Linked DNA regions of Astyanax mexicanus. The main gene of each other region encodes a partner of the protein of the gene in region 2 in a complex. Links are inferred from orthologs where the notes say so. Each region holds a gene or a part of one and is shown on either strand. Other genes may lie near its edges.

Region 1 (16,973 bases), on a different chromosome or scaffold from region 2:
CTATGAGTTCATATTGAATTTGGATATACTACGTTCTGATGAAATAAACTGCAATATGCTAATCATGCAGTGAGGGCTGAATAATATTGAGTGCAACTACAGTACACAGTTACTGAATCTGAAAGTAAAGTACCTCAAAATATTTGGGTATTCCTGTTGTTTGTGGTTGTGGTTGTGGTGGTATTTTTATTTCTTTCTAGAAATAAAATATGTATCTGTTCTTTTCCTTTCGATTTTATAATTTTCATTACAGTAACACGAGTTGTACAGGAAACAGACATCGGATATTGGAGTACCAGAGCCATTTAGTAATCTAAATGAAGTCATTAATATTGATTGTTCTGGAGCCTCACCATGTCTGTATGGATTCTGCAGAGCTGCTACACCAGATCCGACGGCCAGTAGAGCTTTCTGAACAGGACTTGTTTGGATATGGCCCGGATACAACTTTCCATATTGGAGGTCTGAGTTCCAGCTTGTGTGTTGCTGCCTGGCCAACACTGCAGTGAAGAGACATTAAAAAAATTATTTAGTTCAAAAAGAAAAACAGCAGTCCCTGTGGTGTGGTGAAGTCTGTGGGTATATTTAGTATATACACCATATGGACAAAGTATTCATACAAATACCGGCAAAACTCCTTCTCTAATCTTACTTAAAAAGCTTACTCATTTATTTGGATGAGTCAGCTCACGTGCAGCTGAATCATGCAATCACAAACACAGCTCCAATACCATTACATTTGCAGACGACACAACAATAATCTGCAACATCACCAATAATCACAATGGACCATAGAGAGAGGAAGTGAAACTCCTTAAAGAGTGATGCATAGCCAGCAACCTATCCCTTTCCTAAATTGAGCAGCCTTCAATTCCGGTGTCCATACATCTGCTGATCTCACAGAAAAGCCAAACACATTACATATCATCAACCCAACAGTACCTCCCCTTTTTCCTACAGCTAAGGAGAGTCAACATGCCACCCATTACAGCTCCTCTGCAATTCTACAAATCCACTTTGGAAATTTTTGGATACAGTAAAAGAAGGCCGGATTACAATGAGGCCAAACAGCGTTATCTGTTGATTAGCGGCATCTTTTCTGGATAGTATACAACAACCTGTTGTGATTTTAGAAAGGACATGTGGAGGTAAGATAATCATTCATCTCAACTAGACATATGAATTGAATGCCTTATCAACTGCTTGCCCACATACAGTGGTATAAAAAATTTGGACAGCCCTGATAACTTTCATGATTGTCTTTTATAAATCATTAGTTATTCAGATAAGCAATTAAAGTTAAATATAACATATAGCAAAAGAACACTGCCCATATTTATGCATTTGTCTAATTTTGTTTAAAGAATTATTGCACACTTTCTGTATATCCCATAAACTTAATTTCACTTCTCAAATATCACTGTGTTCATCTGCTATATAGTTATGATATAGTAAACTGAAATGGCTGATTATAAAAATAATAAAAACGATCAGGGGTGCCCAAACTTTTTCATACCACTGTAGGCTTATTCTGTTCTATTCCGGTCATGCAGTTAGTTCAGATTCTTACCAAGTCTACCAATGTGTTTGCTATTGGCTTTATGTTATGTTTGACAAATGCTGTTGCGGTTGCCCTGTTGCCCAGCACCGCTGATGCAAACAAAGACACTACCTTGATTAATCTATTTTCTGCTAGTCAGTCATTTCCTGGATTCACTGGTTGCTGGTTACAACAACAATCTCCCAATCTAGTCTGCATAGGACAACTTAAATTGGATGGCAAAGGCAAAATCAGACGAGCGAATACTTTTGGCAATATAGTGTACTATATTGTATTTATAATAATTGGTATTGTCTATTACTGCACTGGAGATCTAGCCTAAGAGTGTTTTCTTTATTGTTCTACCCTGTATCAGTATAATGAAAATAAATAAATCAATTTAATTAAATAAAACCCTTTTTTTTTTACTATATTATATTTTAAATGAATGATCTCTGTGATGCAGTTTGTCCTCAAATAAATTCTACTTTCAAATATGAACTATAAAATGTTTACTATTACAATTCAATCTACACATCTTTAAAGACATTGTGATGGATGAACGGACAGACGGACCGTAAAGGATCAATAGTGTCCAGAAGTGCAAATGTACAGCATGTAAAGTAAAGTGTCAACAGAGTCTCGGAGTGTAGATGTCCATGTTGTACAGTGAGTGATTTTAGTAGAGATAAAAATAGCCTGTGATTTAGAAAACATATGAGACTCATTTCTCATCTGCCCTCCTCCTCTTTCAGCTCCACTAGAAGGAGTCTCTGATGGCTCTCGGGACAAAATATCTCCTGAGTCTGTCTTTAGAGCAGCTCTGTGACAGAAAACTGCCACTGAAACTGCTCCCGCATTTGACAGAGTCGAATGGCCTTATTTATTTGATGTACTCCGGCGGTTCGGATGCGGTCCGAAATTTTGTCAATGGATCAGTATACTTTATCGTGAACCATCAGCTGAAGTGATTACGAATAATTTTACTTCAAAACCCTTTGGTCTGTCAAGAGGTACTCGTCAGGGCTGCCCTCTCTCCCCTCTGCTGTTTGTGTTGACCCTAGAACCCCTGGCAATAGCAATTAGAGATCACTCAGAGATAAAGGGAATTTATATTTCAGAAATAGAACATCAGATCTCTTTATTTGCAGACGACATATTATTATATCTTTCAGACCTAAAAAACACAATACCTGTCTTGCTTAATTTGATCAATCAATTCGGAAAATTTTCAGGATACAAGGTTAATCAGGCAAAATCGTCAATACTTTTTCTCAATGAACAAGAAAGAATTAGCCCAACAATTCAACATCCATTTACAGTAGCTAGAGATGGGTTCAAATATTTAGGAATTAATATATTACACCGCAAATTAAAAATATGATCCCATACAATTATGATCCCATTGTTGCTCAGGTAAACGCCAATTTAGATAGATGGATGACCCTCCCTCTTACTATAATTGGCAGAATCAATGTTATTAAAATGAATGTTCTCCCCAAATTTTTATATCTATTTCAATCGATTCCCCTTACACCCCCACCAACATTCTTTTCTAATATGAGTGTTCATAAAATTCTTGTGGAACAATAGACGATCAAGACTTCGCTTAACATTACTATATCTTCCTTATGAAAGAGGGGGGCTTCAACTACCAAATCTTTTATGGTATTTTCGAGCAGCTCAACTTAGATCGGGGTTTTTTTGGTTTTCTAATCCTTCCAATTTACCATGGATCCAGATAGAACAAAGAAACACTAAGGGACTAGCTCTGGATTCTTATCTATATTCTGATTCTCTTAAAAGACTGAAGCAGAAAACAGCAAATCCATTTGTTAAAACCACAATAATAGTCTGGCACGAATCACAGGAAATGTTTAAAAGGCTGGATGGGCTATCACCATTTACACCTATTTGGGGTAATTCATTATTTTTACCTGGCAAATCTGATCAGGGATTCAGACTTTGGGCTCAATTGGGTCTACAAAAGATTTCAAATCTTTATCTAGATAATACTCTAATGTCCTTTGACTATCTTAAAGAAAATTTTGGGATCCCTCCTACTCATATGTTTAAGTATTTGCAAATACGGAGTTTTATTCACTCCAGGTTACATTCATATAAATGTCCCCCCCTAAGCACTGTTGAAGAGCTAGCAACATCAGACCCTTATACTAAAGGCAAGATTTCAACAACTCCTGAAAAACTTAATCAATTTAATTATAATATCCCTGATAGTTGTGTTAAATGCAGAACAGAGACGGGAACCCTGTTTCACTGTATGTGGAAGTGTGAACATGTGCAAGAATTTTGGAAAAAAATAACGGACACAGTTTCTACCAGAATCCACAAAAAAAATCCCTGTATGTCCAGAAATCTGCATTCTCGGACTGATACCAGAAACATTGGCTCTGAGAACACATGAGAGGAATCTGCTCAACCTTTGTTTGTTACATGCGGAACGTCTTATTGCCAGACACTGGAAAAGTGTTAATTGTCCCTCTCTGAACATGTGGATTAACGAACTTTCTTCCTGCTTAGCGACTGAAAGACTTACGTATACAATTAAACAAAAAAATCATATTTTTCATAGCATTTGGGACATTTAATATTTTTCTAGAAACAAGACCTGATCTACCAACTCCTAGAATTTAACACACACCAAATAAGATTGTGCCTTATAATTTGTTGTAATTTAATTCATTATTTACATGTTTACTTTTACACTTTTGCAGATGGGATGTGCTTACTGTTTTTTCATGCTTAATATTATTTAATAATTTATTTTCTTTGATTTCATATAATTTTTATTTAATTTAAGTATCATTGTTTTTCTGTTTTCTTGTAACTGATGGCTCCATGTTTGGGGGTGGGTGGAGGTAGGGGAGTTGTTTAAAAACTAAAAGATTTAAAAGATGTAAAAGAGAAAAAAACATGTTGAATGAATGTTGTACCAAGTTCAAAAATAATAAAAAATATGCGTTAAAAAGAAACTGCTCCTATGATCCATGAAGATGGTATGCAGTAGGTGATCATTATCATTTATAATGAAGTGCAGTTTGTGCAGTGTCCTCCTCTTGCATCTCGTCTCTCTTCTTTATGCTTCCTCTCCAGCACATCACAGCATAGAAAAGACAGCTGGACACCACGGTTTGATAAAACATCAGCAGGAGCTTCCGACAGATGTTAAAAGACCCTAGCTTCCTCAGGAAGTAGAGCCGGCTCTGCCCCTTCCTGTACAATATATCTGTGCTGGCTGACCAGTCCAACCTATCATCCAGATGCAGTCCGAGATACCTGTAGGTCTTAACTATCTTCACATCAACTCACAATCAGAGACAGGCTGTGTGGGTGGCCTGGCCGTGCAGAGTTCCACCACCATCTCCTTGGTTTTGGAGTTGTTCAGCAGCAGGTTGTACCTATTGCACCACTCCACAAAGTCTTCCACATGGTGTCTGTACTCCTCCTCCTTCACTGCCCGTAAACAAGCCACAATGGCTGCACCTGTGCTGCTGACCACAGTCTCTGATGTAAAGTACTTCAGCCTGTCATACTGAGGTCTGCCACTGAGGTAATCAGTAATCCAGGAGACCAAATATGGATCCACCTGCATCCTCACCTGCTTGTCTCTAAGTTGGAGGGGCTGGAAAAATAAAAAAAAACATGACTAGATGAGAGTGGGTCGGGTGGAAGCTCATTTGCACAGGACTTAAGTAGTCTGGGACACACTTTGTCCGGCCCAGCTGCCTTTCTTGTGTGGAGTCTCCTCAGCTCATCTCTGCTCTGCAGTGAAGGTGTGTAGAGAGGGAGAAGGGGGATTCAGTGGTGCTGTAGATCAGGTCAGCTGAGTGTAAAGAGGGGGCAATAGGGGTCGTGTGATCTGTGCTGTCAGCCTGTGGGAGGGGTGCATGAATATGAGTATATGAGAAGGATGAGATGAGGTGGTATGTGGAGAATGTGTCTGCCAGAGCCTCAGGGTGTTGAACAGAGCAGTCGAACCAGTTGTAGAAGAGGTTAAACTCATTGGCTCTCTCTACATCACCGTCAGTGGCACTGTCCATCCTCTGCTTACAGCTTGTGATTGTCTTCATATCATTCCATACCTTCATGTTATGCTTCCTCAGCTTCTGCTCTCTACGTTCCTAAGCTCCTCCTGGTTGTTGGCTATAAAGGTCCTCCCCGTCTTGTTCAGAAGGTCTTTAACATTGCTTCTTTTAAGGTTTCTTCCCATCACCTTGGTGCTTATTCATAAGATGCTTGGACCTGTATCTATGTAAAGCTGCTATGTGACAAAACTTGTTGTAAAAAGCATTATACAAATAAATTTGAATTGCATTTTTAATTGAATTGTCAAAAGAATATGAACTCTCTTAAGCAAGAAATATAAAACACTGCAAGTCTACAGAAAGCCATATCATATGATGTCACCAGCAACTCAAGCTGTTACTATTGTTATTTTTTTATATATTTATATTTGTATGAAGCAATATTGACACATAATGTTCATGTTAGTGTCAGAAAACTCACTTATTCACTGATTTGTACACTTCTGACATATATTGGCTGGCTTCTACAATGTTCTCCTAAACTCCTCCCACAGACTCCTCCCCCCACTTTTCATCCTATAAATGCAGCCCATTTTAAACTTTGAAAAATGCTTCAGGATGTGACATTTTGCTATTAAAAATGTATATTTGTTTTTACAGTACCTATATTTAATTTACATTTTTTACTTTACAGAAGTTTACTTGTATCTGTTCTAATTTTAAAAATAAGCTTGTTGCTCAGAACAAAAAATATTTCTAGTGGTTAGTAGACTTTTAATACCAATAATACCAATGGTAGGTCTGTTAAATACACAAGCAAATAATTAGATACATATACACTCAGATATACTGTGTATATATACTTAATGAGTTATTACTTTTTTTTAACTTAGGCACCAGATGTTCAAAAAACATATAAACTCCTATATGACTATAACTATTATAGACTAGTATATTTTTTACTTTACAGTTACAGTTTACAAGTTAACCTGTATAGTGCATAGTGGTTTAACAAGTAAAAATAAGCTTATTGCCAAGAAAAATGTTTTTAATGTTAATGTATAAATAATTTAAATGTATACATTTATAAAATAATTGTTTAGGCATATAAGATAGAACTACTGGTACATATACACTCAGAAATACTGTGCATGTAAAATAAAAGAGTACAGTCCGTTTATAATTTGAAACATTATTTAATTATTTGAATATACTTTTTTTTTAACTTAGGCACCAAACTTTTAAGACACATGTAAATTCAGAAAAAGCAAACCATGAAAGTTTAATATTATAGACTAGTATAAACTATATTTTTTTAGGTCTTTCAAATACACAAACTTATATAATTTTTAATATATAATATGATATAAGAATATACATATACACTCAGACATATTGTATATACATAAAATAAGAATTATACATATACACTCTTGACATAATATAAGAATATAGTCAATGTATAAAAAGAAACATTAATTATTTGCTAATACTTTTTTAACTTAGGCACCAAATGTTTAAGAAACATAGAAAAAGTACAATATTATAGACTTGCATATATTTTTTACTTTACAGAAGTTTACCTGTATCTGTTCTAGTGCTTAAACAAGTAAAATAAGCTTCTTGCTAAGAAAAAAGGTTTTAAATAATTTTGTTTACATACATAAAATAGTATACAAGTTAAGTTATATCTGAAGACTCAGCTTCAGTCCTGTCTCCCATAGCGACACAGTAACGTTAGCTTAGCCAGCTAAATAGCTTATTTAGCTAAAGAACCACGGCAGAAACGTATTTATATAAAGCTCAGGACATCGTTTAACTATAGTTTAGCTTTAGTTACCCGAGTAAAACTCCAGAATTTAAGCAGACAGTGCCATTGTAACGCTGTGTGTCGTATCGTGTGCACACTGAACAGTAGCGTTAAATGGTTTGCGTTCGTACCTCCCACCCTGGATGATAAAACTCTCCTCATCGTGTCAGCCTTTAAACAGCCCTCGCTGCAGACTTGCTGGACGTTTTGGTGAGTAGTTTTTTCGACTGTGTGTGTATCTGCTCTACAGACACCACACAGACACAGAGTTCGTGTCTTTTCGTTGCGAATCGTCTCCGCTTTGGTAGTCAACGTGCTGAACAGGCCGTCCTCGTGTTTATGTCACTGGAAGGTTATATGGTGTTAGCTAACCTAGCGCTAGCTGCTGTTTATGATTCAACATTAACATTATAGTAGTTTTTACTGACCTTAAAGCTGGTTTACTAACCTAACCAGAACAGTGACGTGTAGTTAAATAGCGAAGTAATATTTTAAACACTGTAAGATGTTGTGGTTTCAGTTGAATGTTTTCTAGTGACTGTATTTGTCCTACATTTTAACACTTTAAAGTCTAGCTGGGTTAGCTAACGCAGCACAGCACAGTGCTAGAGAGGAGTAACGTTAAATAATGCTGTACTTTATATAGTTTTATAGCTTATAACTAGTGTTATTTTGTGAGCTTCAGGTGTTTGCTAAATAGCAGTCTTGTACTCCGTGTTTAGGAGTATAATGATCAGTATTTCTCTAGCTAATCGTTTAGCTGGCTAGCAGTTTAAGTAACTAAGCTACAAGTCTGTCTATTGTTTACACAGTGTTTGAATCTTCTCAGGACTGTTTTAACCTACAATACTGTGAAATAGTCGTCTTTACATCAACGTTATGTATTTTACAGCATTTTTGTCCTTCAAATAAAAGCAAAAAAATTTGCTACAGATTTATTTTGTCTCTTAAGACTTTGACCCAAGAAAGAATAATAAAAACATTCATAAACAGACAGAAACTTTAATATTAGTCTACTGTGTTAACTAGATGGCTAGATAACAGGTGTATACATGCTAGCTACCTACAGTTTTCAGCTGATGCTATTTTTCTTGTTTTAGTCATTGTTATGTAATATGTGGCAAGCTTGTAAACTTAAACTAGTTAACCTTTGCCTGGGAACATTGTGTGCATCAACAATGTGTTTTATAACAACCATAGCACAACTTTTTAGCACAAAATTTACATTTTTACATATGTCTGACAGTTTAAAACTGTAAAACCAATGGTTTCTGTGACAATATAATTAACCTAAAAATATTTCTACTAGTGCATCTCAAAAACTTTGAATATCATTGAAAAGTTACTTCATTTCAGTAATTCGGTTCAAAATGTGAATCTCAGATATTATATAGATGTATTACACAAAGAGTGATCTATTTGAAGCTTATTTAAGCTTTTATTGTTGATTTGATCATGGCTTACAGCCAATAAAAACCCAAAAATCAATGTGACAGAAATTTAGACCCATTGGTACTTTTGGCAGTGTGCCAAGTCCTGCTCAAAAATGAAATCTGCATCTCCATAAAAAGTTGTCAGCAGAGGGAATCGTGAAGTGCTGTAAGATTCAACAGGAAAACACTGCACTGACTTTGGACTTGACACAGTGGCCCAACACCAGCAGATGACATGGCTCTACAAACCATTACTGGTTGGGGAAACTTCACACTGGACCTCAAGCAGCTTGGACTGTGTGTCTCTCCACTCTTCCTCCAGACTCTGGTTTATTGATTTCCAAATAAAATGTAAAATTGACTGATGATCAGTAATGGTTTGGAGAGTCATGTCATTTGCTGGTGCAAAGTCATCTAAAAGTAAGGCTTCTTACAGTGAAATCAACAGTTAGTGTGACTGTAATCATCCTAAATGTAATTACAGAGTCTGTGGGGGTCTGCACTTCCAGACAATGATTGTAGTGTTTTTAAAAGAACACATATTTTGTGCATGGCTCTGACATGTGGTTAACACATGATACACTCACTTTGCTTATTTATAATGATCCATGTAGATGCTAGTCTGTTTGTTGTAAAGTTCATGGTGTGTGTGTGTGTGTGTGTGTGTGTGTGTGTGTGTTTACACATTATCAGTTTGTTAAATTAATTAATTAATTCATTCATTAAATCTCCCAGACTGTGAAGGAATCATAAAGTCAAATATAGAGAATCCTGTAGTAGCATTTAGGTGGGGTCTTATATGGGATGCTGTTAACTTGTGGTTTCTGAGGCTGGTAACTCTTGGTCTTCCTTTCCTGGGGTGGTCCTGATGAGAGACAGTTCTGTCATAATGTTTTTGATGGTCTTTGCGACTGCACTTGAGGATACTTTAAAAGTTCTTGAAATTTTTCGGGTTGACTGACCTTCATTATTTAAAGTACTTTTTCTTTACTTAGTTAAGTAGTTTTTGCCATAATATGGATTAGAACATTACTCAAATTACTATTCACTGAATACCAACTCTACATCTTCACAATGCTCTCAAACACATTAAGAGACAAGAAATTAAAATAATGAACTCTTGACAAGTGCAGCACAGCTGTTAACTGTGTGTGTGTGTGTGTGGGGGGGGGTATGCAAGCATGGGTATAAATTACAATTGCTTTTTTAAGATGCTTTTGGTTGCCATCAGAAACTAAAATAGAATTTTGGTTGCATAAATCTCTACACCTCCCAGTAATTTGTACTTGTGCGCAGTTGTTTGAACTGATAATCTTGGAATCTGCAGCCATCCTTCTTATTTCTTGCAGCTCTTTGGAATTTTAGTCAGTCAAAATAAAGTGGTTACAAACCCTTTGTGTGTTGGCACAGATATGCTTCTAGTTCTATCTTTCAGCAATTAAATATAAACAACAATTTGGTGTTCTGTGCAGAAATCTCGAAGATGCATGCAATTTGGATGAGCAACTGCCCAAGTATTCATTGTCTGCTAGCTGACAAATAAAGATATGTGATCCATCTACATAACTTCATTTGGCAAAGTTACAATGAATGCTAGGATCTGTATGTGGGTTTTTATAACAGGAAACTGCGGAAACTGGCATCCAATGTGGAAGGGTGTGGGGGTGGGTTGTGACCTGTGGTATTTTATGTTTAGGGTGAGTGTAGGAGGGAGTTAAATATATTTAAAATCAAGCAGCTATATTAATGAATATATAAATGCATTAAAATGTACTTATTTTAACAAGAATTATACATTGCCCCGTTTGCCTAAATTGCCAAGTTATCTCATTTTAGCCTGTCTTAAAATTAAAGCGTAGGAAAAATAAGGAAAGTGTAGAAAATAATGCATGCATCAAAACAAAAATATGAAATAGTTGTTAGTCACATTCATTTGTAGTCCGTGGTGCTGGTAGAAGCAAATGTTTAAAAAAAATGGAATGTATGGAGTTTGCATGTCTTTTTTTTATCTACAGATACAGTATAAACAGCATATTTATGTGTTGCCAGATATTCTTTCCGCTATTCACGCAAACTATAAAATAGTGTAGGACAGAGGAATCTTAAGAATTGTATCTGCATTTGTAATCCACACCTGCAGAGTATGCTTCCTAGAACTAGTACCTAGTAAAATATTCTTATCAGGCATTCATGCCATGCCACTGAAATGAGGTGTAAATCAGTACACGACTAAACATGTTAGCGATGTAAGTATACAGGCATTCAGTCTAGAAGTGATCTGTGATGTTCTGTTGATCTAAAATCTTTAGGACACCCTGGAAATGAATGAATTAACAAAAAAAACTAAACAGGAACTGAAACATTTTTCGGGAGGAAATTTTCAAAAGAAGTGGGCCATTTAAAAGGAAAGTGTGTGTGTAGAAATTTTAATTTTATACTATTGTGACACTGGGGTGAACTGGATATGCCTGACCAGTCAAACACCACCCCCTTGTGTGCATCGCTGTTGTTTGGTTAAACATGGGGCAACCCTTTATCTGTAAGATCTGTTTTCTGTTGAAAAGACCTTCTGGAAAGTTCAGCACAAAAAAAAATGAATCATTTTTCATTTCACTATGTTCTTGCAGCTTAGTCTTATTTCCTAATCTAGTAGACAAAGTGCTGCTTTAGCTGACTTCGAGAGGCGTAGGAGAAGTGATACGTTTTTCGAGATGCTATACTTTATCAGAAACATCTAATCGAGAAGTGTGGGTGAAGCGAAGCATTCATTGAGATGTACTTTGGTGGAAATGTGTGATCATGTGCACCCTCAGGTAACATTCAGACCATGCTTATGTAAAACGGTGGAACATGTTCTCTTTTCCTTACACGCCGTCATACAAAATTAACGACACAAATATTTTGATGTGATGTGTGTCTGTAGTTTTAGTTTAGCTTTATCAGAAACTATGATGAGGATTTTCCAGTAGTCGTTCCACTCCATTCCCTTCGGCATCTTGTTTACGAGTTATTTGCTAGGTGACTAAATTTGAGGAAGTGAGAAGAACGAACAGTGGAAACGACCACCTTTGGGTTAACCACCAATTAGGATGAGGTGCCACCTACTGGCAAGGAAGGAGCTATACTCTCTTTAGTTACAAATGCCTGAAGAGAACAATACTAGATAATAATAGATGTATTAAAATATACATATTATTTTTTTTAATATAATTTTTCCAGGGATGTATATGAGTGTAACAAAGCCGTTACATACCAGTCCAAATTCTGCACAGTTCACAAGCAAAAACAAAAAAACAAAGCAGGACATACATAGTGTTTAGACAGGACATATAGAATTACAAACGAGGGATTATAAAAGGGGATTTACAGACAGAAAAGTAGGACATAGAGTAGCTACTTTTAGTTTTCCAAGTACTACATATTACTTTTTGACCAATCCACTTGTGATTTAAAATGTTTGTTAATTTGTTTTATATGTAATCTTTGTGGTTAATGTATATTCCGTTTTGTCTTGTTTTTTATTTTCAGTCTTTTTCTTCTCCTTTATGTCTTAAAGGATGGTCAGCCTCGCGGATAAATGGAAGGGAATGGCACGACAATCTTTGCCCTCTTCCGTGGACTCCACATTGCCGGGAATATCACGGCAGGTACTCTCTGTATCAATGGAACCTAAGTACCAGTGTCAGCAGTGCAAAGGAGTTCTGAGGAAGCCCTTCCAGGCCCAGTGTGGACATCGGTTCTGTGTGTTCTGTTTTAAACAGCTTACAAGGTACAAAGCTCTCTGGACCTCATGCTCTCCAGAGCATGCCAAACTCCTCCTTTCCCAAAAAGGCTTGCTCAGATCCTGCCAATTCACCTTCTTTTTGCTCAGAGCCATCCAGCTGTCTTCCTGTGTCTCCATCTCCTCCATCTCCCTGCAAAATCCCTGTTGCAATAAACTGCATTTATCCAACCTTTGTGGCTGAAGAGATCATCATTATGTGCTCTTTCCTTGGTGAGCTCTGCAACCATGCTGACTCATGCAGTATTAAGTTAACAATGCCCTTGTAGACCACCAAAGTCTTGCGTCATTCTGTAGTCATCGTTACGCAGATATTTGGCGTGCTAGCATCAGATTTTGGATCTAACCCCAGTTTTCAGTGGAAGTAATGATGGGTTTTTCTAAAATGATCCTCTATTTTGTTCTGTGGTAAATAAATATGTTTTTTTTCTGTGTACGTTTATATCTTGAACAGAACTGGATCCTCTGGTATATACGATTGTAAAAGAGTCGTAATACTAATATTGCCAGGTGCTAGCTAATGCTAATGCGGCTGTGCACTGAATTGACATCATTAGACTGTAGTATGCTAAACTTATTAGCAAGTATTAGCAAGTTCAGTTTGTAAAGCGGTTGTTTACCATGCAATTCCATCAACATGACCAGCTTGATCACTCTCATAGACCAGCTTAAACCATTAAACACCAAGCACCAGCCTAGATCATCTGAAACCAGTTAGCAGCAGAGTTAGAAGCTGGTATTTATTTGTTTTTTTTTAGAAGGGACATAATAGGCTGTGGTGAAGCTGTTCTTCATCTGTTCTTCATCTGTTCTTCATCTGTTCTTCATCATGACCAGACCCACATTTAAACACATTTCATGGTTTTGTGTTCATCCTTTACAAAGGAACGATGAACTACAAGCGATGCGACCGTTATAGCCTCCTTTACTTTAGTGTAGATTACTGGTGTCTAGCTGATGCACATTAGCATTAGCTTCCATGTAGCCATGTTAGTATTATTACCATTGAATGACCTAATAAATCAGAAGATCCAGTTAACTTCAGCAGATAAGTGTACACAGAACAGAATGTACAGTGCACTGAACATATTTGTTTACTACATAAATAAAACTCATGCAATTTTCCTATTGAAAATAGAGGTAAGATCCCAAAATAGGTGCCCAATATGGGCGTAACAGGATGGCGCACCTACAAAATGACAATATAACTTTAGTGGTGTACAGATATTGTCTCTGTCATAAGAAAACTGCATTGATAAAGAAAATGACAATTGTTTTCTTCTGACCGTGATGTTTGAGGTAAATAAGTCATACAATTTACAGAGAAAACAGTATGTGTTCAGTGTAACAGGGGTTAAATTTCCTAAGAAGTGGAAAGACTGGAACTGAGCATATTGGATGACTACTAAATTATTCATGCATTCATTCATTCTTAAAACATTCTGTCTAATGTTCTATGATGCAGTTTTAACCTTAACCATGTGATGCTAGGAAATGGCTTTCAGGTTAGTTCATTTTTAAAAAAAAGAATTAAACACTTCCTCATTAGTTGTAACGTTCTGTTACTGGAAACTGAATTTGAATTTGACACCCATATTCAGTTCTGCTTTTCAGTTTTAGCAGTACTTTGCCTTTGAGTGCTTTGCATACCATTTGTTTAATGTTATTCCCTTTTATAAATATATTATTGCAAACCATATTCTAATTCTAAAAGCAGCTTTTGCATCAATGTTTTTTTTTTGTATGTTTATGGTGTGATAATTAATATTAGGCCTGCCACAATTATAACATACTCTCTAGACTGCCGTTTTTCAAGCTTATAAAACCTAAAAACCTTTATCGCATGTTTACTTTAGATTACTGAACTGTTGCTGAGGTACTTTTTGTTTGGGGTTAAATGTGGTCTGCACGGTTTGCTGTTTTGTGTGGTTGGTAGTGCTTGTTAGCTCTTCTGTGTTCTGATAATTACTGTTATGTGCTGTACTCTTGAGAGGGGAATCTGGTTAGTAGTGTTAAAAATCTATAATCTTTTTCCTCTTATGGGATGCCAGGCTTAGATTTATACAACAGTTAGTTCCGACCTCACAATCTGATTGGTTGAGAAGTGATCTAGCCGTGATGATATTTCTTGATAACATCACGGCCTTCTCACACTAAACTTGTATCTCTCCGCCGACGCGTTGCCGAGTAACGCCGTATATACACAGGACACCCGCAGCAGCGTTAGCTTAGCACAGACTAGTGCTCAGCCGTGGCAAGCTCACCCGAAGCGTTGGCTCGTCTTTCGTGGAAAAAAGGGAACGAAAATCGCTCGGTTAATGCCGTCTTACAGCCAGAACGCTAACCAGCCAGGCTAGGTTAAGCTAAGTTAATGCTAAGCTAAAGCAAGCTACGCTAACCTAACCACAGTCCAGCCAGCTAGCTAAAACCAACGCCACCCAGGAAAATAAGCAGAAATGCTAAAATTCGCAGCTTTCACCTGAAGACGACTCCATGGAGCAGGAGAGGAGGGTATTAGCGTTATTTCACGCTCCTAACGTTACCATCTTCACTATTCCCAATTTTGCTTTCAAGCTAACTTTCGTGGTGTTAGTCTGCCTGAACCATACACTGTATGTGGTTAAGTTGTGGTGGAACTACTTTTTGGCGGAAGGCTCAGTCCATATTAAAGCATATTCAAACTGAATTTCTTAAAGTTCTTTGATTTATTTTCTTGATTTATTTAGTAAAAAAAGAAACTGTAGTATAAAAGCAATAGAACACTCAAGGTCGTGTGTTATCGCGATCTGTAGGAACTGCAACACAGAGCAATATATTATCATTTTATTGCAGTAGCTACTAATGAATTTAGCTAGTAAGCTAGATAGCTTCTGGTTTTTTGTAACCAGCAAGGCCAACTTAGGCTCGTAATTGCAAAAAAAAAATTGCAAAATGAACCAGCAATAATTTATATGTCTTAATTGTCATCTAAAATGTCATAATAGTGACAGGCCTAAATATGGTATTACAATCTACAGTTTACATTCATCGCTTGTTTTATTTGACCCCCACCAGCTCGGGCCCTATACCCTGTGAAGCCTGCCGTGCTGAGGGTATTTTCGAAATGGAGCACTCCATGCTTAGCATCACTGAGGTAAGAAATGTTTTCATCTGTCACTCCTCAAGAATGTATTAAAAAAAAAAAAAAGAACAATCCATTTAGTATACCGTCCCGCTGTTCTGTACTTTCACTATCTCTTTAGTAAGAAAGAAATTCAGGATGACCACTAGAACACTTTCACTTGCACATGCTTTTCAAGAGCAGTTTAGTTTGCAGGAAAACTGACCCACTGTTCTCTTTCAGGCATTTCCAGACAATGCAGCACGAAGAGAAATTGATGGCCTGCCTGCAAAGTGCCCGAACGACGGCTGTAGTTGGAATGGAACACTGAAGGAGTATGAGGTACTATTATAAACACAAGATGTGATATGAATGCTATTGGTTAGATTTAAATATAGCGGGGAGTAGGTTTGAAAAAAAAACCCGCCTCTCACTCATGCACCAAACAGAGCGGTTATACTGCTGTGGGGGAGGGGTGGAAAGTCCCTGACAACTGCTTGGAAAGTACCTTCAGTTTAGTTTCTGTGAACTGCATGACATTCTAGATAAATATTGTTGCCAAAACTCATGTCTGACCAATCCCCTATCCTGTTTTGTTGTTAAATAAAGATGAATCCACATATCTGTGTCATGATAGTTTATGCTGAAATGAGAACCATGAGAACAAGTAAATGTAGAGTAGGGGAATTTGTTTGCCTCAACATCCTGCCTCAAGCATTCCTTTTTACTAAGAGATAAGTCACACAAAATTGAACTGCCATGTCACAATGAAAGTTCAGTATGATTCAAGACTCTGGTTTGCTGATTTAATCCAAGCCCTCTTTTTGTAGCCTCCCTCTTTAATGTGCCCATACATGATCTTCAGTCTAGTTTCAGCCACATTAAACAGATTCAATGAGTCAGAGGACATTCTGGATATTTGAGTCATGTTTGCCATGTGATAACCTGAAGCCTGAATCATTAAAGTGGTGTCTGAACTTGTCTGTGAAATTTGAGGAACCTTTGAAATTTTGCAATGTATTGCGTTTATATTGTGGTCTGGTTTTGCAACACAATTCTTGCGAAACTTTTGTTGCATTCTAGTTTCACAAGTTTTCATCACACTAAAACTATTTAAATTGATGTTTTTTTTTGTTCTTATGTGTGCTATATTTGTTGTTCTAAGCCACATATATATCTCAAAGAATTGATGCCAGATTTAGTGTGAGCTACATGAGTGTGCATGGCTTTGTATTTTTACTGTTTTGAAAGCAAACAGGGGGC
Region 2 (17,323 bases):
CATGGTGATAATGGGCTATTTTGTGTAGAATTTTGAGGAAAGAGATTATTTAATACAATTTGTAATAAGGCTGTAACGTAACAAAATGTGGGAAAAAAAAAAATATATATATATATATATATATATATATATATATATATATATATATATATATATATATATATATATATATATATATATATACACACACAGACACACACAATTCTAGAAAATATAATTTCTATAAAATATAAAAACATTTTAACACAAAATACAATATCTAAAAAATTTATATAAATAAAAAATTATATTCTAACAAATGTATTTATTTATTAACTGTTAATCAATTAGTACGATTTGTTCTTTAAATGGCCACAAATAATATCTATTTTGAATAATAATACTGTACATAATTTATCATTGATTAAAAACTCAATATCCTAAATAATCAATCAGACCACAATAGTGTACTACGTTACAGCCTTATTACAAATTGTATTAAATTAATCTCTTTCCTCAAAATTCTACACAAAATAGCCCATTATGACTATGTGAAAATAAGTTATGCCCCTTGCACTGATATCTTTTGGCAAAAGCACAACTAGATAGGAAATCGATCATTATTGATCTTTATTGTTGTGATGTAGTGTTAATGTGTGTGTGTCTGTTAGACTTTAATGGTAATACAGAGCAAAACATTTAAATGCCAAATAAAGGGCATTTTACGGGACTGGTGGCAACCCTATCTCTGGAATCAAACTGATGGAAATATGTTGTAGCAACAGATAACTTTGCTACCCTGAGTGAAGCCCAACTGCCTCCAGGGGTGAGGCTTTACTGTAACAACAGAAAATTTGTAACAAAGATTTTAAACAAATTCCTTTTTCAACTTGAATGTTTATTGATTATGGCATGTATATCACAAGCAGGATAAACATCATGAGGGACTGCAGGAGTGGCAAGAAAAAGAAGCTCTAAAAAAACTGACATAATATAAAATAACATTACAAATACAAACCTATTTAAAATAGGTTTTCTGTTCAGAGACTATCAGAACTATTACTTTTGGAAACCACCAGGTGGCGTTTTTTCCATTGCAGAAGTAGACAGACACAGGCACTCCTGTCACTAAGTTCTGATTTGGGTTGAATGATTTGAGCTTTACTGACTCCCCAAACAGAGTTTAGTCCAAATAACTGGTATAAATACAAAAAAAAGCAATAACACTGAAGAAAACACATGCCTTTTCCTTTTTGCCTGTACACATTTCATTTGCTCTAGCAAATTCTGCTTGAACAAATTAATGTTTAATATTCAAGAAATTACACCCTCAACATTGTATCATTTTACAGTTAAAATATAAACAAAATACTTATATACTGTACATATTACCGAAACACAAATTTGTACTTAAACACGCTGAGACACATAAATGGCTGCCTTACATCCAGCTTGTATGACCGTTTTCAAAAGCAAATATCCAGGTACCTGAAGTAAACGAAAAAAGTAAAGATTATGAATAAGCAATTCACTATACTTTACAAAAAAAGCAACATGGTCATGGTGAAATATGACTGGTTTGAAAAAAATTTTCACAGTTTACCGATTTCCCTGATGTAATACACCTGACCTTACTCTTTTACTAACACTAACTTTAAAACACTACCAGCAGGCTCAGGAGTGAGGGGAATCAAGTGGCAAGGTGCCTCAGAACTGCTATGGAGAACCATTACCAGGATACGTTCACATCCTGGGTTATCTGATCATAAGGATATGTTCACACAGCAGGTGAAAGTGTCTCAAATTCGTTTTTCTCATTAAAGAGGCAGAATACCAAGAGCCTGTTGTTCAGCCATAATGAGTGTTTTGTTCTGCTTCTTGGTTTCTTAAACCTTTGTTTAAACAGCCCTTATATTATTAGAATAGAGAGATCATTTCAAATATTCAAAACACCTGTTATCTCACTATCCCTCCACTGAAACCCTCACTCACAGCTGTCGTCCATTTTTCCTTCTCTTTGACGTGAAAGTCACATAAATTCTGATCTGGTTGTTTAGGCATTTGCAATGCTGCGAATCAGATCTGTGTCAGATTTCAGAAACACATATTGAAGTGTCTCAAAATGGAATGGAGAATGTCAGATTCAGTGTGTTTTTTTGCACATTTGAGCCACTACCACTTTCTGTATGAACATAGCCTTACTGGCCAACATAAATTTCTCATATTTTATTTAGAGATGATCAGAGATGCATTTGACTACATTATTAGTGTAGCTTGTGAACACTAAAGCCCCTTGATGTCCCTTGAGCCAGCAAAGCACTGCTCACATTAACTTTGTCACTTTGTCACTGCCTGTGCCGAAACATATAATAACCACAACCGCAATACAACACCGTCCGCACAAGAAAAGCATGAACCCTCCTACAAGGGAAATGATGAGACAAATGTCACAAGCACACTGCTTGCATTTAAAATGCCAGGTGTGAACATTGTGTGATATTTTCACACAAAAATGCATGATAATTACAGGTGTTAAGAGGACTAATGCTACATTCCTGTGCCCGTCAAGCAGTATGTTTCTCTGAGATGAAAGTTGATCACTGTAAAAATAAAGTTTTTTTTTAAATGTATATATTTTTTTTAAGCTGAATAACATATACATTGTTTATAGATGTCTAAAGATTGTGTTACTAGAATTCACACACAAAAAGCACATTAATGTTTGATATTTTACCATTGTTTACATGCTGAGTGAGGTTCAAAATAGGGCTGCCACGATTAGTCGACTAGTCACGATTATGTCGACTATTAAAATAGTCGACGACTAATTTAATAGTCGATTAGTCGTTTTTTTTTTTTTTTCTTCTTTGTTTTTCTCTCCAAACTGCTGCGACTGCCTTTCTGTCCTGGACGCACATGCGCAGTAGTGGAAACCGGGGTAGGTAGTGGACGACATCTCAGGACATTATACAGACAGGCTCTGGTTTCATGGCTACCCCGCTACAGAACTCAAAAGTGTGGGATCACCAAGAAAATAAAAGTGAAACGCGTGCAATGCAATATCTGCAATGAAGAACTTGCCTTCCTCGGCAGCACAACCGCGATGCACGAGCACCTGAAAAGGAGGCATGTTGTGGCTGATTAAATGACGAAGAAGCTAAATTGCTATTTAGCTGGTAAAATTAGCGTAAACAGAGCGTTAACTTAGTACTTAACTTACTCATCTTGATAGCTTTAAAACAGAGGTCACTAATAGGCGGACCGCGATCCGGATCCGGACCCAGACGTTGTCACAAATGCCGTCCCAAACCGATAAACTACAGAGAAGGATTTCATTCTGACAGTGGCTTCTGTTTTCAGTGCTTTTCGGTGCAGTAAACTCACAGATCAGTCATGTGTGGTGTAAAATCACCAAACGCTCTCCTCTGCCAATCAGATCTGTGCAGACCGCTGCCCTGTGTACGGTAATGTACACAATATCTGGACAGAGAGGCATTTTTTATTAATATACTTTTTTTTCATAATAGTTCAAACAACCTCACGGTTGAGATGTTTCATAAATGCCAGTGCCTTATCCTTATTTTACACAGTTGTTTACACTTTATGCTAAACAGTAAAATAATTGTCTGTTACAACAAGCTGCATATTTCATTAAAGGTTTAATGAACTATGATTTTAATTGTTTTTATTTTTAGTTAGCATATAGCTGAAATCTAATGTTGGTTGTATAATAGCAGCTGCATTCTATTGTGATAAACTGTGTTTTATATTCAATTAACGTATGATCCGATTAGTCGACTAATCATAAAAAATAATCGGTGATTAGTCGACTATAAAAATAATCGTTTGTGGCAGCCCTAGTTCAAAAGCACAGTTATATTGGTCAGTTTGTGCCTTATAGAAAATTTCAATATGCCCAAGGTGAGAATTCTATGTTAGAGGGTGTTGACAGTAACACTTACTGATTCAGCATCATGTTCCAGACCAGTGTCATGGTGTTCCAACTCATCGTCACGAAACTCTTTAATGAGCTGGTGGAGGTAAAAACAATTACTACATGAATTAATGATGTTTCAATATCAAACAGCCAGAATAAAGTATACTACTCTGTAAACTGTAACTGTAACAGTATAAACATAAAATACTGCTCAAATTTTCATGTCAGACCTGTAATAACTCTCTATATCTCTCTGGATCTTCTTCCATTAGCGCCCGGATTTGGCTGTTGTAGTGTTCAGAGATGCTCTCCTCTACTGCCACCGTGCAGGCCATCGCACCTTCCTTACCCAGGAGAGCTGTAGAGGCCCCTACAGACATAGAGACATCATCTTACAAATACTCATACAACGCCCTAGGCACTGTAATGATTACTGTTTATATTTTCCTAAAAATTGAATAATGTTTTTTTTAACATGATATTGGTTTCGATAGGGCTATCATTTGGAGTTAGCAAATTTGATCCCTGGTGATGTCACAAGTCATATGTGTCTGGGAATCACAAAGAGTATTCCTAGCCTAACTCTCTCTGGGTGAGAAAAATGGTCCTCCTTCTCCCACAAACACTTAGCACAATGCTAGCAAGTCTGTTAGTTGATGTAACAGCTGTCCTATGATGCTACATAAGCGATAGTACCATAGTATGGTAGGGGAGACCTAGCTACTGGTTAGGAAATAGAACCTGGGTAGGAAATGAAAATAGAAAAAAAAAATAAAACAAAATAAATGTGTATAATAAATTAATATGTGAGCATGTCATTGTGAGTAGTTTGATGTGAATCAGAATTGTTTTCAGCTGATTCCTGCAAATACACTGACGTGGCATAAGTCTTGGGATAGCAGTATATAAACTGATCATGAACTGCACTGACTTTTGTAGTATGTGTGTGTGGGGGCTCCTGTTTTAAATGTGAATGTGATTTCTGCTAGTGTTTCAGAGTAAGTTTTCAAAAGTAAAAATAAGCATAAAAGTAACATATTGTTTGCTGCACTATAATAATGCTATTTATACAGAATCAAACTTACCAAGTAAAAAACCTGCAACATTCCACAGAGGTAGCAACAACGTTGGTCTCACCCTGTTCTCTCCCAAAATCTCATTGAACTTCTGCAAGTGCATTTTTTCTTGGTCCCACATGTTCTGCAAATGAAGTATATTGCAAGGAATTAGTATTAGACTTAAAAACACATGTCTTTTTAAAGCATAGCTGTTTAGACATACGAATAACAGAAGCATGTTTAATACCTGTATAATAGGGCCTGACTGGGTTCTTCCCAGGACAGCCATTTGTCCAGCATAGATGCGATTTGCCCCATATTCTCCTGCATGGTCCACCCGCAGCATGCTGTCCAGCATGGCCTTTTCCTCCTTGTCCCGGGGTGGGGGAAGTACAGTGTATTTTCTGCACAACAGGGAGCTATTTACTGTAACAAGCATGCAAAGGAGATCTTTTATTAGACAGTAAAACATGTTAGGAATGAGATGTACAGAATAAATAGAGATAAATCTTCCGTCTGATGCACGGTACAGTGCCAGAATTAACAATTCTCTCAAACCATACTCATCTGGCCTGTCAAAATAAAGTGCAAGTTTGATTTAAAGCAGCAGTCCTGAAACGATACTGAACTGAAAAAGGGCAAAGTATTATAATAAATGCCATCAGTGTCCTTATAAAATATATTCCTTCTAAAAACAACTGGTCCATTAGGTTTTCCTGGTAGTTTTATCTTAGCCTCTTATCTGAGCAAGTGCAGAGCTGCTAATGATGCTGATATAAGAGCTACTGTAAAAATGGAGGTATAATAACGACAAACTCAGTCTTCTTCTGCTCATTCTCCATTCAGAGCTAAAATAGAGCAGGACAAGTCTGTTCTAAAATCAACAGTTTTATCCACTCTGAAAGGAGACTGCACTATTTTGCATGCTTTAAAAGTACTTGCTCAATTCACATTCCCACCAGAGAGATATCTAAACCCCAAACCCACAGACTGTTTTAATTAATTCATAGATGTAACCTCATGTAAAAGATGGCTAAGATTACTATCTTAGATTAATAGTTTAAAAGACTCTTTTTTACTTAATTACGAGTGAAAAAGCCAATGCATACAAATTATTCATCCTTCGTTAGTTATTTCAGAGGATAATACACTTAAGATAACCACCAAAACTACTTCAACAAACGAAGAAAAAAAACATACATTCCCCAAACTATTATTGATTAAAAGCACACTTTTCTTTTAAATGGGTAGCATTGCATTATTATGCTATTATACTATCAAACAGTGGCATTTGTTGGTCTTAATGTGACAATAGTGTTTAGCACAATCATTTATAGAGTTTTTGAAGTTGTGCATTTTGTGTGTAAGCATGTTGAATACTATTTGTCCTAAAAACTTGTAATTAGCTATTTGAGAAAAGAATATGAAAAGAAAACATAAAGAGTGTTTCATGATTTGTGTGGACTGTTTGAAGAGTTTATTTAAAAACAGATGCTTGCTAATCATTAAACATACCATTATCTGTGTTTTTGTTTTTAATTAACTTTTAATTTGTACTTCAAAAATGAATATAAAGATAACATTTATACAAAAAATATATAAGATATGACACTATGTGACTGGCCCATAGTCTATATCAAGCTGGGAAGAAAATGACTAGCAAACCTAGGTAAATTAGCCTAGCTTACATTGTTTCTGGCCACAAACTGAGCTTCTGTAACAGTTTTCAGGGAGCTAGCAAAACTTAATTATGTTGCTGTTGCGTAAATAAAACATCAGGGATTATATCAGGGAAAACTGTGGAACATCTATAAGTTTTTCACAGAAACAGTTAATATTAGTCTGCACTTTAAAAAAGCACGGCCGCTCATTAACAGGAGAGCCCAAGTACAGACAGGGGACGGCCGTTACTTAACTTACAGCACTCTTAGCTTAGCTTAGCCTCACAGCGCAGCCTGTGGAGTTACCTCTGTTTCTGACAGCTGGGGTGTTTTCAGCGTTTAACGGGTAGAAAACCCGCAGGAAGCCGCTCCTCAGAGCGCAGAGCTGAGCTCTCTGCATGATTACAGCCCTGTAAACACTGAGAAAAAGAGAGAAACTTCCCTGGGAGAGAGAGAAGCTACACAGAGAGAGGCATGTTATCACACGACCCGCAGTAAAGGTTGTGTTTTCAGCAGCTAGACGCCTCAGAATGACGTGCTGGCGGCGTACATAATAAAAGTCCCTTTAATAAAATACTTAATAAATTGTAAAGGGCCATTCCACCGAATGGGTGCCATTTGCTTGTTCTAACTCTTCTAAATTAAACGTGTTTATTTTGTTTTATCTGTTTTTAACAATTAATCTAATAACACATGTATTTAAATATATAAAACATGTAGAAGTTACTGGTCAAACACAGTCAGCTTTACTTACTTTTATTCAAGGTTTCTAAACCAAAAATGGTTACAAAACTTGCTATTTATGACAAAACAAAACTCCTGTTAATTCCTGTTACTGGAAATCACATCTGTTACTGGCACTCATTCCTGTTACCTTTTATGTTTTGAGTAACAGGAATGAAATTAACAGGAATGAGTTTTTAACATTTAATTAGCAAAAACATGAAAAATAGCTAAATAGCGGCTATGCTAATAGTATGAGGACACCGAGCACATTCTAGACATTTTTCCAAAATTTGTATTTTAAACATAAACAAAAAAAATTTAATTTAGGTAACAGAAATGAGTGATGAGATTCATGAGAGTCATAGTTACAATAAGATCAAATATACAAAAAATCAAATAAGAGAACTTAATTTTGGTCTACCCATGATCTTCAGAAGAACCAACTGAAGTAACTTTCTGTTGAAGATGTGTGTAGAATGTTCCAGATGTTTCAGATGGGGTAATGTGTTACAGAAACAGGAATAAGTGAAATCCAAGGAACTATAATGTGTATTTTAGCTTAAATTCTATTGATTTATTATTTAAAGCATAGATGGGATTTGAATTCACACAACAATGCAAAAAAAAATTACATCAGATTTTAATAATTGTATTTCATGGTTAAGTTTATATCGTCGCTGTCCAATGAAAAACACTTATCTCCAAAACAGCAACTTTACAGGAGAGAGAAAAAAACTTGGAAACTTTCAATAGAAGTCAATGTAAAAAGAGTTTATTTCAGGTCATTTTGAAGAGTTTCTATTGGTCCGTTCATCAAGAAATTTTGGCAAAGTGTAAAGGACAGTTTGTCTGTTCAGATTATGTAGAAAACTAAAAATCGACAAAAATGGAGATAAGTGTTTTTCATTGGACAGCGACGATATATTTTTTAAATGACATATCTTACTTTTGCAATTAGGTCAATGTACAAGACACTATGCTTAATAATAAAATGTATTTTAAAGTTTTTTTGTGTGCACATTTATACATGACATTCCCTGGGGACAGAAATGGCACCCTTTTGGTGTAATGGCCCTAAATTAATAACAGTCTGCATAATGTTATTATGACACTTTCTCTTTTTTGTTATTTCAGTGCATTATTATATGTTTTTATTATATTTTATGAAAATTGCTGGTAATACAATACAGTACTAGCAAGTACACAACATAACATTATTGCAATATATAAAGAAGATATTTATCTGTGCAGTAATTGTTCATTTCTCAGATAAATTTTTTAAAATGTTTTCATACATAATACCTGCACATAGCAAATATCTCTGATATAATATGGATATGTGAATTTAAGAATTTAAGAAACACAAAAACATGCATTTATTAAAAAAAAATCAATACAAACTAAAACAAACTTTGCATTTTGCAAATTTCACAAATATGGCCTAAAATCTAAACTAAAATTGTACTAAAAGTAATATTTTCACAGCATTTTACATTATGGGGCTATCTTACACACTGAGCTAATTTCTGTGTTACACCCTGCCACCAGTCTATTTTCACACCTTGTGCTCACGCCGTTTAAATAGCAAAGACTCTTGTGAAAATATCTACACCGATGGGTGTGGTGGTCTGGAGGTGAGGTGTGTTCAGGCATAATGCTATGATGGCAACAGAAAACACAAGTGGGTCCTGACTAATTTAAACCCTGACAACAGTCAGACGTTCACTGCTATTATGGCTACGCAGGTCAGTTTCCTCTGCTAAAAAGTGCAGATGTGCAGTTAGAGCACACCTGGGTCTTAAAGCAAACGGAAAGTGACACACTGTTTGGATCATTTTTATGTTATGCCCAAAACACATCCAGGTTTAATTAAGAGAATTAGTGCATGCTTTTTGTGTATTTCGAGCCGTGCAAGGCATACTTGTGTTCTCATAATACCAAACACAAACTGACATGCTCTAAATAAATCTGTTCGGTGCACCATTGATGGCTCGGCCCTAGATCACTAAAATAGGGCCCAGTATCTGCCTTGTGTTTGTGTAAGTTTGCAAATCAATCTATTTTATTTATCATAAAAAACATGATCAAAAAGAAGTTGTATGCCTTTATGGCAATTAAGAAATTAAGAAATTACTCTTCTTAATAATATCAGTTAAATTTCATTATTGTTTGTGTTCAGTTTTAACATTATAATTAATTCAAATATTTTTTTCCTATCATAACTTTTTTTTCGTAGCTTCTCACAAAGTAAAGATTGCTTTTGGATCACATGCTGCACAGACTGCTCCGCTTTAGAGTTGTGTTGCTGACAGTGGCATTGGCAATATTGCACGGGTGATTTCCACAAAATCCTTTGGATTATGGATGCAAATGTCAAACCATGTGTTTTCAGTCTAAAAAGAGAAAGGTTTATATAACTGGATAATGAACCAAAACATACCTCAAAATTCATCATGGATGAGACACAAACAGAAGTGGTTGTGTAAAAAACAACCAATGCAATAAATGCTGTTAACGTTAACACATTGATGCAATGCCTATTAATATTGCTTTTAATAAAGTCTTGTTATTGCGCCTATTTCCTACTTTGATGTCTCTGATATTCAGGCGCAGTGCAGTGTATGCATGTATTTATACAATATCTTCTGTATCTGGGTATCAGTATTGTTTTTTTTTTTATTTCTCAGCATCCAAGCTTGATGTGTCTTTAGACTCTTGCTCATTTACCATAGCTAAGGAGAGATAGTTCATGCGTTAACTCAGAAGAGCCCATGAAGTATGTGTGACAGCCCCTTGTGAAAAATACTTTACAGCATTTTAACTCATGAAGTTTCTGAGTAACATACCCTGAGTGCATCACAGCACAGTGTGTTAATCATCATTATAATTTACAGAACGCAATTACAATAATTTTAACAATTTCAATTGAATTAATATACTTTTATGAAAAGTATTACGTTACATATAACAGATTTTTATTTTCTAAAATATATATACGTATATATCAATTATGAACCTTTTTTACGTTGGATTTTATCCTTAAATTGTTTACAGTCATGTGATCTTTAATAAAAAAAACATGATTGAGCAACTCAATTAATTTAACTGATTACATTTTAAAATTTGTATCAATATTTACAACTGGGCCTGGTCCGTTACAGGTTAGGCAATTGGTGCTAATGTTATGGCTATGTAACAGTGCAGTACATTTTGAATAAGAATCATCCAGACGGGATTAGTTTCTCAGGGGGACGTCTGTGAAAAATATTTCACACATCTACACTTCTTCGGTGATAAAACTCCGGACTGCAATTGAAAAAACAGGAGGACCAGTGAGTTTTTTTGGCTTTCTCAGTCACATGACATCACATTCAGCAGGTAATTCAGCCTGTAATTTTCTCAGGGGATGTCCGAGGAAAACACGTACATGGTCGTTCCGGATGGAAATAAAATCACAGAGGACCCCCCGTAAAAGAGAAAATTACCCCAGGAAGAAATTAATCCCATCCGAATAGGTATTTACAACAGGTAACAGTATTTGGTAACACTTTATAATAACTTTCATTAATATATTTTTAACTAATGATCAGTAGATAAGGACAAAGCATTAGTTAATCAGAATTTGAATATTAACAAATGCTCACACATGACACTTATTTATCAGCATAGATATTCATATTAAAAATGTTAGCAAATCATTAGCTCATCAGAATATGAACATTAATTAATCGCTAGTTAATGCAAATTTTAAACTAGGTAAATGTTTACCAACTGCAGTTCATGTCGTCAATTTGTTCATTAGTATTTACAAATGTAATTTATTAAAATGTGAAAAATAACTTATTAATCATTAGTTAATGGTATATTCATGAAAGTGTTACCCAGTATTTAATCGCAGCTATTATGAATATTTGTTTTTAAGTTCCCACCTCTAGCCCTTTATGTGCATTTGAAATCACAGAACATGGTTAGAATTACAAGATCCTTCAGGGACGTTTAGAAGTTCTTCAGTGTTCCTTTACGCAACCTATAAAAAAGATTTTTAGAAGAAATATGTTTCCTAAAGGCACTTTAAGTGGTTTCTCCTCAGTTAAAAATGGTAGAACTCCCAAAAAGTCCTTAAGGATTGTGTAATTTTAATAGCGTAGAGTGTGAGATAATTCAGCAAACCAAACCAAAACATAACACTGTAAAATATCCAACAATCTGAAGTGAGTGTTTTGGAGTGTGTGTGGTTGCATTAGCAGACTGAGTCTGAAGCAGGCCTGCATGGCTCGAAGGAGACAATGCGTTGTTTACCGCTGCTCCACGGTTGGGGTCAGACGGCAAATAGCTGTGGTGGAGATCGGCTAGCTACCCCAGGCTAGTGTGAGTCAATGCGTTTGCCCAGAGCAGGGGAACATGACACGTCTCGCATTGACGTACACACGTGGGCTGTGGGCTCGGTCTATTCAGTATACATAAAGGTCTTTGGTATATTATTTCAGGACTAGTAGCCAAGTTAATGAGGGGAATCTGCGGTTTCAGACTGCTTGTTGGGCAGTGCCGTATAGGACTGTGGGTTTTAGAGAGAAAGTTTCAAGGAAAGATCCAATCAGTTTATATTTACAGATGAAATGTCACAACCTTAGGTCAGAGAAAAAGTTGGGAAAGTATGGAAAATGCTAAAGTCTATACTACATTTAATTTTATTTGATTACACACAGCATGGGCCCAAGATATTTAATGTTTTGTCTGCACAACGTTTAAAAAAAATAATATTAATCTATAATTTCAGCAGGAAAAGTGGTTTAGGACTGCTAATGATGTAAAACAATAAAAAAAATATGTTGCTTCAAACAGGTGATGTCAGAAGGTGATTACAACATGATACATGATTTGATGCAATAGCAGTATCCATTAAAGACTGTGTCTTTAATGACAAAGATGGGCAGAAGATTTTCAAGATGGGCAGAAGATAACAAATGCCTGAGAAAATAATTAAAATGTGTAAAAACAATGTTCTTCAAAAACAGATTAGAAGGGATTTGCACAACTATTCCTGTACAGTTCACGAGATATAATTAAACCATTCAAGAATTTCAGTGTATAGAGGATAAACTAAACACCTGTGATCTCCGATCCCTCACATGGCACTGCATCAAGAACTGTCATTCAGCAATAGCTAATAGAACCACATGGGCAAAGGATTGCTTTAGCAAACTGTTGTCTATCACTATAATATTACCACATTCACATATACCACTTAAAACTTTACAACAGCTTTTATTACTATACATACATAAATCTTGATTTACCATTTTAATTTTTTTTCATAATACAAATCTTTCAGTTTCCTACACATTTTTTTATGATGAATGGAGCAACAGTAACCAACTGACCTAAAAAATAATTTACACTGACTTCCACAAAAAGATTTTTCCTCCTTCTGTAACTTTAGATATACAAGACAGGGATGGACAGTGATGATATACAGTACCCTCCAAAAGTATTAAAACAGCAAATCCCATTATTTCTGCTGTAGATTAAAAACATTTGAGTTTGGCATTGAAATGTACATTTGAGACACAAGATCAACATTTCAGCTTTTATTTTCAGCTACTTACATCTGGATCTGATACACTGTTCTAAACTTGTACATTTTTCTGTGCACAATTGCTGTCTGCAGTTAATATACCAGTGACGACTTTCTTCTTCAGGACAAAACAATTGTACTGGTACTGGCCAATATGCAAAGTCTTTGATTGATTTTACATCTTCTTTTAGTTTCTACTCTCTTGGTTTCTACTCTATTGATCCACGAGGGGAAATGTTTACAGCAATGTCTACAGCAGGAATAATGAGAATGCTTGGTAAGCTCGTTGACCCTTGAAATACGTACACACACACAGATGAATCCATTTATGAGAAAGGGTTAAGGTGCCAATTGCAAGTTTTTTTTCCACTTTGCATCTTCTCTGAAGAGTGGCAACATGGGAGCCACAAAACAACTCTCAAATGACCTGAAAACAAACATTGTTCAACATCATGGTTTATTGAAATGATAAATAAAAAGCTATCTTAGAGATTTCAGCTGTCAGTTTCCACTGTGAGGAACATAGTGAGGAAATGGAAGACCACAGGGACAGTTCTAGTAAAGGCCCGAAGTGGCAGACCAAGAAAAATCTCAGATAAGGATGGTGAGAACAGTCATAGTCAACCCACAGATCACAGACCAGCTCCAAAGACCTACAACATCATATTACTGCAGATGGAGTTACTGTGCATCATTCAACTATTCAGCTCACTTTACACAAGGAGAGGCTGTATAGGAGAGTCATACAGAAGAAGCATTTTCTGTGCACACACCACAAACAGATTTGCTTGAGGTATGTTAAAGCACATTTGGACAAGCCAGCTTCATTTTGGAATAAGGTGCTGTGGACTGATGAATCTAAAATTGAGTTATTTGGAGGGCGGTATTCATGACAGATAAAGAAACAGAATTCCAAGACAAACACTTCATCGTGCTGTGAGGCTGTGTGTTCAGTGCAGGTCCTGGGAATCTTGTTAAAGTTGAGGGTCGCATGGATTTCAGTCAAAATCAGCAGATTCTTGAGAACAATGTTCAGGAATCAGTGATAAAGTTGAAATTGCGCCGGGGCCGGAATACTTTAACAAGACAACAACCCTAAACACTGCTCACAATCTACCAAAGCATTCATGCAGAGGAACAAGTACAACGTCCTGGAATGATCATCTCAGTGCCCAGACCTGTATATTATTGTAAATCTGTAGTGTGATTTAAAGCGGGCTGTTCATGCTCAAAAACCATCAAACCTGACTGAATTGGAGATGTTTTGGAAACAAGAATGACCCAAAATATCTTCAACTAGAAGCCAGACTCTCATTGGAAGCTATAGAAAGTGTTTAGAGGCTGTTATTTATGCAAAAAGAGGAACTACTAAATATTGATGTTATTTTCTGTTGGGGTGCCCAAAATGTATGCACCTGCCTATTTTTTTATTAAATAATTATTGCACACTTTCAGTAAATCCTTTAACTTAATTTCAGTTCTCAGATATCACTGTGTTCATCTGCTATATGATATATTTAACTAATATTGCTGATCAAAACAACCAATGATTTATACAGGAAAATCCTGTAAATTATCAGGGGTGCCCAAAACCTTTTTATACCACTGTATTTGTGTACTTGTACCATTGTGGGTGCAGTAATACAAATAAGCACTGGGGGCCACAGTGCACTCAAGACTGTTTAAACGTTTTGAACCTCATCCAGCATCTCTTGCTCAACATATTGAAGAAAAACCTCTGGAATCTTCTTGATTGCCCTGGGAGAGAATTGTGTGCAACTGGGTTAACCAGATGTTTAGACTGCGTTACTCTGAAACAGTTACCCCAGACATCATTTCGACATCACACTCATTATATTAGAGTGTCAAGGAAGGAAAAGTTCAGGATGCTAAATCTGTGGATAGGTACGTGTGCATGCATGTGTTTGTGTGTAAGTGCGTGTGTGTTTGTGTATGTGTGTGTATGTTTAGGTGGTGGTGATGCTTAACAACATCCTTCAGACGCATTGAGAAACGTGGTCTGTCTGAGCACCACCTACGGGTCAGTATCAATATAATGTGTCTTTTGTTTGGCGGCATGATTGTTTGATTTTTAAACACTGGGTAACTATACATCAAAATTTCAAGATTTACTCTAAATAAACACATTATTACACATACATAGGGGAATGTTAAACTCCACTTTAAATAACTTTTTCTACATTTTATACAGTGTTTTTCAAATTTTTTTAAGTTCTTCTTGTTGCTATGGCCACAGTGTTGCCTGAAAGTTAATCCTTTTAAATAGCAATGTTTCAATATATATATATATAATGAAAGTGCTTGAAAGTGCTATGAATTTTAATTATTCATTTACTTTTTTTTACATAAAAATATCAAGCTATTTAAATGTGCCCGAAAATTCCCTGCCCACCTTTATATCTTGGAATAGCTCCACGCCTACATGTGTAATGCCCTGCTAAGTGCAGTTCAGCCACTGACCTAGTCTTAGAGTCTTTATAAAACACAAAACCAACCAGAGATCCTATGTAAACCTAGTTACTTATATACAGAGGTGGATAGTCCAGGTCAATAAGTATAATTTTAAATAGTGTAAACAGAACTGTTTAAAAATAATTAATTAATCTTAATTAATTACTGGGCAAAGCATATAACACCGATGTGATATTTGCACAAATAACACAGGAACGAACTACCATGCTGTTCTAGCTAAATAACGGGTTTGGACGTAGACACGGGTGCTTTTCCTGATTGACTAATTTTTCTGAATATTTTTCATTTTCATTTATGAGCTACTGGAGACAATGAAGGCTGAGGAATAGTTTCATGTGCAGCATGCATATACAACTCAGAGAGACCTGTTGTATTTCACAGAGAACAAGAAAAAGTGGATTTTAGCGGAAGGACACCTTTAAAAAAGACTCTTGGTAACTGGTACAGAAGAAGGACTGGCTGAACCACATGGCAAACCTTTAGCTCAGCTTAAAAGGTGCAATATATATATAACATTTAAATCTATGTTTAAAGCTGTTCACATGAACAATCCAACATGTCTGCAACTCTAGCTCAACCAGGTTGTCATCAAATGGCAGTTTTCACTAAAATTGCCCACTGTGTCACAGGCCATCAGGTAGTAAAAAGAGGGAAAATAAGAGGGATATAGCTGGGAAAATATGATTTCAGTGTACAGTATTCTGTTAATGATCTCTGTGGATAGAATGAGATGCAGAGAAGAGACACTGTGCTGTAATAGTGCTTGGTCAGGAACTGGGTCACCTCTAAGGCGGTTATGAAACACTGGTTCAGTACAGCAGCGGTCCAGCACTTTCTTTTTTATTGTTGCTTTAGTGGTATTCCCTTGGAAAGGGCGACATATCTTGTAAAAGCCCTGTCAACAACCCCGGACAATCTAATTCAGATTGAGATTTTGTGAGCTCCTAGAGCCACACAGCTCCTTTTATAGCTGGCTATATAAGTCCAGGGTGCGAGACGGAGAGTGAGCTAGAGACAGAGACCAACAGTGGTCATGTGTACGCTCAAAAATGTCCCTCTTCATCTGCAGTCTCTGTTAAACAGGTCAAAACAGGCTTCCCCCACAGACAGCAGGAACTCAGCAGGCCTTGTGGAAGTACATAATGCCTGGTCTGTCTCGACTCTTTAAAGTGGCGGAGTGTTGAGTGCGTGTCCGTCTTGTTTGCACCTAAACCTGGCAGCAGGACCTTGGAAGGTGTGTGCAACATTTTCATGTCCAGACAGATCTTACTCTCGCTGGCTGCGAATTTGATTTCTCAGTGAGCCAACAGGCAAATGATACTCTGCATGTTACAGACATGAAAGATAAAACCACACTTCAGAGTTCAGATGTCCCTATTTTAACTAACTATAGGTGAGCCGTAAACCGTGCACTGCACAGCTTGGATTTTGCGGCTCAGAGTGCGCAAAAGGCATGCACTAATTCTCTTAATTGTTCATGAGTCTCTGGTCTTTTGTTATTGCGTTACGTGGCTTAGCGGAACCAGCCAAACAACCAACATGTATGGAGAGAGACAGCACCTGTGTTATTATATTTTAATATTTTTTACACTCAAGTAAAAATAGAATTGCACTGAAAGAAAGAAATGTTCTTATTTTAATGCTTTATGCAGACGATATTCTTTTATTTGTAACTGATCCAATTCATTCAGTACCTACGCTTCTGAGTATTATCGAATCATTTTCTAAATTCTCTGGCTATAAGGTGAATTGGTCAAAATCCGAGGCCCTTCCTCTAACACAGTATTGTCCAATCTCATTTTTTCAGGCAGGCTCCTTCCAATGGCCAAAACAAGGTATTCAGTACCTGGGTATTCGCATTCCACCTCTAGTCACTGATATTGTAAAAGAAAAT

What was found.
Region 1: coq7 (region 2) and coq4 share a complex: the UniProt entries of both Homo sapiens proteins name them as parts of the multi-subunit COQ enzyme complex. The link is inferred for Astyanax mexicanus from reciprocal best matches to the Homo sapiens genes COQ7 and COQ4.

Annotation. Positions count from the first base shown.
Region 1 is NC_064408.1:19,904,880-19,921,852, reverse strand, and holds the start of coq4 (ubiquinone biosynthesis protein COQ4 homolog, mitochondrial), read right to left. Parts: upstream 7,651-16,973; 5' UTR 7,559-7,650; coding exon 7,528-7,558; exon of another isoform or gene 7,472-7,527; intron 501-7,471; coding exon 354-500; intron 1-353. Other genes in the region: traf2b (TNF receptor-associated factor 2), read left to right, coding at 12,387-12,598, 15,665-15,743, 15,954-16,052. UniProt on the Homo sapiens protein: Lyase that catalyzes the C1-decarboxylation of 4-hydroxy-3-methoxy-5-(all-trans-decaprenyl)benzoic acid into 2-methoxy-6-(all-trans-decaprenyl)phenol during ubiquinone biosynthesis.
Region 2 is NC_064412.1:39,290,568-39,307,890, forward strand, and holds coq7 (5-demethoxyubiquinone hydroxylase, mitochondrial), read right to left. Parts: upstream 7,166-17,323; 5' UTR 7,036-7,165; coding exon 6,942-7,035; intron 5,401-6,941; coding exon 5,222-5,400; intron 5,117-5,221; coding exon 5,002-5,116; intron 4,287-5,001; coding exon 4,147-4,286; intron 4,011-4,146; coding exon 3,942-4,010; intron 1,468-3,941; coding exon 1,390-1,467; 3' UTR 857-1,389; downstream 1-856. UniProt on the Homo sapiens protein: Catalyzes the hydroxylation of the 5-methoxy-2-methyl-3-(all-trans-polyprenyl)benzoquinone at the C6 position and participates in the biosynthesis of ubiquinone.